Linked DNA regions of Cricetulus griseus. The protein of the gene in region 1 purifies or fractionates together with the protein of each later gene. This does not show direct contact. Links are inferred from orthologs where the notes say so. Each region holds a gene or a part of one and is shown in the gene's direction. Other genes may lie near its edges.

Region 1 (4,130 bases):
TAGTATCTCACAGGGAAAGACAAAGTTTGTTCTGTTATGCTGAATTTAAATTAAAATAGGCTATTTGTTGCAGGAAAGGGCTTGTCAATTGTGCTGTTCTTTCCCCTAGTAACTTTATTTAAATGGATTTGCAGATTTTGTTGTTGTTGTTGAGACAGGGTGTCACTATACAGCACTGGCTGCCTGGAACTCCACGTAGGTCAGAGTGGGCTCGAGATATGCTATACCACGCCTGTTGTCATGGGTGTTGGGAGATCATCGAATCCTATGTTGACTTTTATTTGAAAATCTAAAAGTCCAAATGATTTCAAATCCCTTTGCCAGGCCGAGAAAGGATTCGATTTCTATTTCATTTATGTGCTTCACAATAAAACTTCAAACAGCTGTCATTTTAAAAAGACACTAGTAAAAGACAGCCTATCTGGCCACCAAACCTTTTTAGATAGTTTGGAGCCAGGCGTTAGTTTGCACACGCCTTTAATCCCAGCACTCCGGAGGCAGAGGCAGGTGGATCTCTGTGAGTTCGAGGCCAGGCTGATCTTCAAAGTGAGTTCCAGGGTAGCCTCCAAACCTCTGAGAAACCCTGTCTCGAACCCCCCCCCCAATAAATAAGTAAATAAAAACAAAGAAAGAAAAAAAGAAACTTTGGAAATGGCTCCATTCTCTAAAATTCTGTGCCCTAAACAAACGATTCCGTTCCTTCCCCCCAGATTGATAAAAATCTTAATTCTTTAACTCTGAGAGTCGCCTATAGAGAGTCTCATCCAGTCAGCCGCATTTTCCCGCCCGTGCGACGTGCGGGACTTAGGAACGTCAGTGCCGCAGGGCTTGCAGCGTGGGCCTCCCAAGGGGACGGCGCCGTCACACTCTGCACACCTCGGGCCCCCAACATTTAGATTCCGCGAGGGAGGCAAAGGGGTCCGCAGGCTTTCTGGCAACCTTAAGTCGCAGGACAGAAAAGCGTGCTCTTCCTTCCGGCACTGCAATAGGGTGAACTGGGAAATGGAGACCCAAAAGCGCGCGGGGAGGGGCGAGAGGCGCCAAAAAGAAAGGGAATAGGCCTTTCTCTGGGCGGACGCGCGGTCACGCGGCTTTCTCCCGACGTGGGCGCTTGCCATTGGTCGAGCTGCCGCTGACGTACCTGACGTTGCCTGGCGCGAACCGCGGCGAGGGCGGCGCTGCGTTGGAAGTTGGTGAGGCGCGCGCGCTCCCGCGGCTCGACCAATCCGGACCCGCCGCTCTCGGCCCGCCAACCCGCCCGTCCAGTCGCGCTCCGCTTAGGCGTGACTCCGCCCCCGAGGGGCGGGCGGCGCGCGGAAAGCGCGTCACGTGATGACTAGCCCCGCCTCTTCCTCTCGGTCCCATATTGAACTCGAGTTGGAAGAGGCGAGTCCGGTCTCAAAATGGAGGTAAAACCGCCGCCCGGTCGCCCCCAGCCTGACTCCGGCCGTCGCCGCCGCCGCCGGGGGGAGGAGGTATTAGGGGGAGAGCGGGGGGTTGCTGGGTAGTTGCCGGCGTGGGGGGGCTTTGGCTCGATGGGAGCGGGGAGGCCGGGGGAAACCGGGACGATCGTCCCGCGCTCTGCGCTGAGAGGGCGGTGGGAGGGGGAGGGGAGCGGGCCTAGCGGCCCCATCGAGGCCCTCGGTCGGCCTGGCCCTCTCGGTCGGCCGCACCAGCAGCCCTCGGAGACGCGGCGCGGCCGGGGAGGTGGTCCGCGGCCGGGCGAGGATCCCGAGGCCTGCGCGGCCTGACTGGCGAGGCCGCGGGCGGCATGGCGGGCCTCCGCGGGAGCGGTTGGGAGGAGGCGGTGGGGGAGGGGAGGAGCACATCCGGGCGAGCGAGCGAGCAGGCGGGCGGCGGCCACATTGACATTGATCCGCTGCCGCGTTACGAAATGGCGCATTGGCCCGCAATGGCCGCCGCCTGGTTACGCCGCCAAGGAGGAGTGCGTGGGATTGGAGGGAGCGGCGAGAGGCGGCCGGGCATTTTGCCGCAGATGGCCTCGAGCCTCGGGGCGCGGTGCTTTCCGCTGGGGTGCTGCCTGCGCGTATCTGGGCCTTCGGGCCTCCTCGGTGACGGCAATCCGCGCAGATCTCCGGCCGGATTTTCTCACCGTTGATTTGGGGATACATTACTGAAATGCTTGCTGCTTTGAGGTGCTTCCTAACCCGCTAGTTTCGCTCAAGTGTTTGGAATGAAAGTGCTTATGGCGTCTGGTGGTTGAAGGATTAACCATTTCAAGGATTTGCGTGTAGATAAGTGCTAATTTGGAGCTTAATATCTTACCGATTTAATTTCTCGTGGATTGGCACCGGTTGTGGTTTCCTGGATTTTGGTTTTAGAGAACTTCGACCACAGTCAAAATTTCACGACTACGAGGATTTTTTTGTGTGTACGGAGATGTTGTTTTTGTGTATTGTCAATTGCGTTCATCCGAGGCTTGAATAAATGGGACTACGTGAATTAAAACTTTGGGCAGTTGATCATTTAACGTGTTTCTAGTATGTGGCAGTATTTAAGTATTGAATGCTTTAATTACTACTTTAGAAGATTGAAGAAGTTTTTAAATGTGATTGTGAGTCTCCTTTAAGGATTTGTGTTGCATTGTTTTAGTGCGTGCATTAAAAGCAATTCATTTGAATGTTAAAACCTTCCAAATGAAAAATTCATACCAGATATTCTAAGTCAATACGGTTTTGTGCTTACTTCCTTGGGCAGATGGTATATGCTATATGTGACAAATTCAAATTATATACTTGTGAATATCGGTGTACTGTTTGAAATCATTTAACTATATGATGTAAATGGGCATCCACCAAGTTAAATTGATTACAGAAAGCTAAGTAGTGCAACTAGGTGTAATGATGTACACCTGTTACCCTAGCACGTGGAAGGCTGAAGTAGGACTGCCTCAAGGCCCAGTCTTGCCTAGCCTGTCCTTGAGAACCTCCCTCAGCAGCTCCCCTCTCAAAGCACTACGGGCCTAATCTTATCGCTGATTTGTATTGTTCTTGTGGGATATGCCTAGGAATGTCTTAGATAACTGATGTGCTGGAAATCTGAATCTCTCTCAATTTGCCACTCCAAACTTTTTAAGTTGCATTTCACAGATTGTGTTTTAAAATACGGGTTTGTTGCTGTTCCAGACTGAGGATAGTGAAAATGGCATGGGTTGAATAATGCTGACTCCTGGGTTCTTTTTTGTTGTGAATGACTTGTTACACACATCTGAAATACACCCCTAACATACACTTGTAGCTTTCAAAAAGTTATTTTTTACTCTGGGATTGTTTTGGGGTTCAGTTTAGTTACATAATGTTTAAAGTGACCCGGGGTACCATTGTAGTGGGGTTTTTTTGTTTTTAAGGCAACAACCCACCCTCTACATACTTAATAATGGCTAGGAACTGGATACATAGTCCAGGCTAGCCTCTGCCTCAAACGCTGAAATTAACTGGTGTGTATTATCATGCCCAGCGTAGAGAGCAGATTTTTAATTGGGAGTATTAATGATAGAAATTTTGAGACTCTTGTAACAATTTGCTTCAAGAAAAAATAAAACTGTATCGATCTTTTTTTCTCAGGGCCATGATCCAAAGGAACCAGAACAGTTGAGGAAGCTGTTTATTGGTGGTCTGAGCTTTGAAACCACAGATGATAGCTTAAGAGAACATTTTGAGAAATGGGGCACACTTACAGACTGTGTGGTGAGTCCTTGGGGTGAGGATTGTCTTAGGAAGGGATGGGGACCTATGAGACTATTTAAATACTTTCATTTGTTTATTTTATAGGTAATGAGAGACCCCCAAACAAAACGTTCCAGGGGCTTTGGTTTTGTGACCTACTCTTGTGTTGAAGAGGTGGATGCTGCAATGTGTGCTCGGCCACACAAGGTTGATGGGCGTGTGGTGGAACCAAAGAGAGCTGTTTCCAGAGAGGTATTTTAATAACATGTTGTATAATGCATGGAACTGTGAGAGTTTGGTTTTTTTGACTTAAAATTATTTTATTTGCAGGATTCTGTAAAGCCTGGCGCCCATTTAACAGTGAAGAAAATTTTTGTTGGTGGTATTAAAGAAGATACAGAAGAATATAACCTGAGAGACTACTTTGAAAAGTATGGCAAGATT
Region 2 (3,518 bases), on another chromosome or scaffold:
ATGTACCCTGACATTAATCTTAGAATTATAGTAAATGGGTTCAGAAGTTATCCTAGGTTAACCTTGGCTTGTGTTTCTCTTATTAATATCTTAGAGAAAAGAATTTTGGCTAAAACAAAGTGGGGTACTTTAGTGATTGCTTTCCCATAAATTAACCTTGAACAGCAATTTAAAGAGCAAGGTCATAAAAGCTATTGTAGTAATGAAAGGATGCAGTTGAATTTGTAAAAATGGTGCCTGGTGTCCTGTATGTGCAGTTCAGAGCTTTTAAAATACACAAAGTAAAAGAAAAATTTTGGTAGGTGGCAGGTTTTAAGAAGCAAATGGCAGATACTGGAAAACTGAACACGCTGTTGCAGAGAGCTCCACAGTGTCTTGGGAAGTTTATTGAGATTGCTGCCCGCAAGAAGCGGAATTTTATTCTGGATCAGGTGAGCAAAAGCTTTGAAATTTTTTTAATATTAATTGATAAGATGTGAGATTAATGTCTTTTAACTCTTCACTTTTCCCTTTAAGACAAATGTGTCTGCTGCGGCCCAAAGGAGAAAAATGTGCCTGTTTGCAGGCTTCCAGCGAAAAGCTGTCGTAGTTTGCCCAAAAGATGAAGACTATAAGCAGAGGACACAGAAGAAAGCAGAAGTAGAGGGGAAAGACCTACCAGAGCATGCTGTCCTTAAAATGAAAGGCATGGAGTTTTCCTGTTATTACTTACTGTCTTAAGTCTGTTTCTGTGAGTTATGCCTGAAAAGTGTTTTTTAAAACTGCCAGCACTGTTAGGAATTATATTAATTTGGCAAATAGAAATGTGTTTATAAAAGATGTCTCTAAGCTATCCATGAACAAATATAGTTTTATAATTTTAATCTGACTTTATTCCCTATAGGAAATTTTACCCTGCCAGAGGTGGCTGAGTGCTTTGATGAAATAACCTATGTTGAACTTCAGAAGGAAGAAGCCCAAAAGCTTTTGGAGCAATACAAGGAAGAAAGCAAAAAGGCACTCCCACCAGAAAAGAAGCAAAATACTGGCTCAAAGAAGAGCAATAAAAATAAGAGTGGCAAGAACCAGTTCAACAGAGGTGGTGGCCATAGAGGACGTGGAGGATTCAATATGCGAGGTGGCAATTTCAGAGGTGGAGGCAAGTTAATTTTAATATTCTATTCGATTGAAATTTTAAAGTGAGCAGAGGATCTTTTAGTTTGTCAAGTAGCTAAAGAAGTTAATTTCTTAGATATTTTATGCTGCCATGTCTAATTAGTATGTAATTTACAATTCATACTATATATTCAGTAGTGAAGTATGACATTATTTGTTTTTCACTAATGCTGTAACTGGACTGAACTCTAGGTTATGGCAGGACTAAATAAACTCTTCTTGTGTTTAGCTCCTGGTAATCGTGGCGGATATAATAGGAGAGGCAATATGCCACAGAGAGGTGGCGGTGGTGGAAGTGGTGGAATTGGCTACCCATACCCCCGGGGCCCTGTTTTTCCTGGCCGAGGTGGTTACTCGAACAGAGGAAATTACAACAGAGGTGGAATGCCCAACAGAGGGAACTACAACCAGGTAAGAGGAGCTAGCATCTATAATTTGACCTAGAAAGTTGTAGGTGGCATTGACATAGTTGTGAAGCAGTTTAGTTTAATGATCTTTGCTTTTCAGATGCACTAACAGTAACAACAATGACCAGGGGTATACAGGGTTTCAGCATGCCCCTTTAAAATGTCCAAGCATTACTTCAGACCTATTTACAGATATTTTTTTTTCCCTTTCATAGAACTTCAGAGGACGAGGAAACAATCGTGGCTACAAAAATCAATCTCAGGGCTACAACCAGTGGCAGCAGGGTGTAAGTAGTTTTCTTAAGTAATTACATAAATTGTAGTTTTTATGTTTACAAGAATCAGATCGGAAGTTCTTATCTAGGGATTGAAGTGTTTGATACAATTATAGTCTTATTACTGTGTTATAAATTGTAACCATGGATAGGCTGGAGTTTTAACAGATTTTTAGATAAAGTAATATTTACTACATACGGTGTTTTTATTATGGTTCTTTTTAATAGTTTTAATTACGTAAACTAACCCAAGTCTTGTGTTTCTTTTTGTAATGTGTATTGGTAAATAATATGGGTAATTGGTAAATTAAAACTAAGTCTCTGGTCTGATGTAGAAATTAAGTGTGACAAGTATAAATTTGTTTCCAGCAATTACTCTGAATTAGATCATTGTCATTTCCTAAAAACAATTTGAGTGGCTTATTGATGTTTTTTTTTCTTTAAAAACAAAATTTTCTCTTACAGCAATTCTGGGGTCAGAAGCCATGGAGTCAGCATTATCACCAAGGATATTATTGAATACCCAAATAAAACGAACTGATACATATTTCTCCAAAACCTTCACAAGAAGTCGACTGTTTTCTTTAGTAGGCTAACTTTTTAAACATTCCACAAGAGGAAGTGCCTGCGGGTTCCTTTTTTAGAAGCTTTGTGGGTTGATTTTTTTTTCTTTTCTTTTTTGTACATTTTTAATTGCAGTTTTAAAGTGAATCGTAAGAGAACCTCAGCATTGTGCACGATAAGAGAATGTGTCAGTATTTCAGGGTTCTACATTTTATCTGTAAAATGTGACTTTTTTTTATCACAACAAAAGTAAAATGTTGCTTTGTACCTGGTGTCTTTTATTAAGCATTTACTCCCCCATTTCTCACAGAGAATAACAGTCGGGAGTCATTGTCACAATAAAATAGCAATGTTAGCAACCAGATTCATGGAAGGACTAAGTGGTCCTCATGAATTGCATAAGATTCTGTATTGCTCATAATACACTCCATCCTCTCTGTAAACTGGTGGGTAATAGTGGAAAGGAAATTTCTGACAAACCGGGAAAGCTATTCTTTTTTCTGTTTAACAATGGAATTTGAACAATTGGGAATGAAGATAAAATTTAGAACCAAGATTGAGAAGATGGAGTGTATGTAGAAGGGCTGTTAAAAATGTAAACTTGGTTGCATTATATGTGGAGGCTCAAACTTGTGAAGGTTAAATACCATAAATTTTTCCATTTGTTCTGCATTTTGATTCTGAAAAGAAAGCTGGCTTTGCCCATTTCTTATTAAAAAAACTTGTTGTAAATCCAGTTGTCTAATGGGATCTATATGAAGTTAGCTATGTCTGTATGCCCTTCTCCCACAAAATACTGTATAACTAGTGTGCTTGTAGTAGTTAACTCCACCATCTTTGTAAGCTAATGAAATTGTGAGTCACCCATTTATATCTTTTAATCATGTCAGTTCTTGAATGGGTATCTCCTTAGCCTGCTGATTTCTTTTTCTTTCTAAAGAAAGTGGGTGGAGAAATTAATTTAGACGTTTGTTTGCAATAAAAAGAATTCATTTTACTCTTGTTTGGGATTCTCGCCATCAAGGTTCAAAATCCCTTTATACTACAACTCCCAAGAGGAGAAATTATAAGTGTGTGCTTTCTGGACAGCTTATTCTTTTACTCTGTACTTGGAACA

What was found. Proteins that work in one complex are often made in the same cells at the same time.
Region 2: the proteins of Hnrnpa3 (region 1) and Hnrnpu fractionate together in Homo sapiens (co-fractionation; 3 studies listed by BioGRID, with this or other methods). This does not show direct contact. The link is inferred for Cricetulus griseus from reciprocal best matches to the Homo sapiens genes HNRNPA3 and HNRNPU.

Annotation. Positions count from the first base shown.
Region 1 is NC_048599.1:99,409,905-99,414,034, reverse strand, and holds the start of Hnrnpa3 (heterogeneous nuclear ribonucleoprotein A3), read left to right. Parts: upstream 1-1,324; 5' UTR 1,325-1,403; coding exon 1,404-1,475; intron 1,476-3,584; coding exon 3,585-3,707; intron 3,708-3,791; coding exon 3,792-3,938; intron 3,939-4,016; coding exon 4,017-4,130. UniProt on the Homo sapiens protein: Plays a role in cytoplasmic trafficking of RNA. Binds to the cis-acting response element, A2RE. May be involved in pre-mRNA splicing.
Region 2 is NC_048598.1:15,825,532-15,829,049, forward strand, and holds the end of Hnrnpu (heterogeneous nuclear ribonucleoprotein U), read left to right. Parts: intron 1-302; coding exon 303-431; intron 432-516; coding exon 517-685; intron 686-883; coding exon 884-1,138; intron 1,139-1,384; coding exon 1,385-1,566; intron 1,567-1,777; coding exon 1,778-1,849; intron 1,850-2,302; coding exon 2,303-2,356; 3' UTR 2,357-3,398; downstream 3,399-3,518. UniProt on the Homo sapiens protein: DNA- and RNA-binding protein involved in several cellular processes such as nuclear chromatin organization, telomere-length regulation, transcription, mRNA alternative splicing and stability, Xist-mediated transcriptional silencing and mitotic cell progression.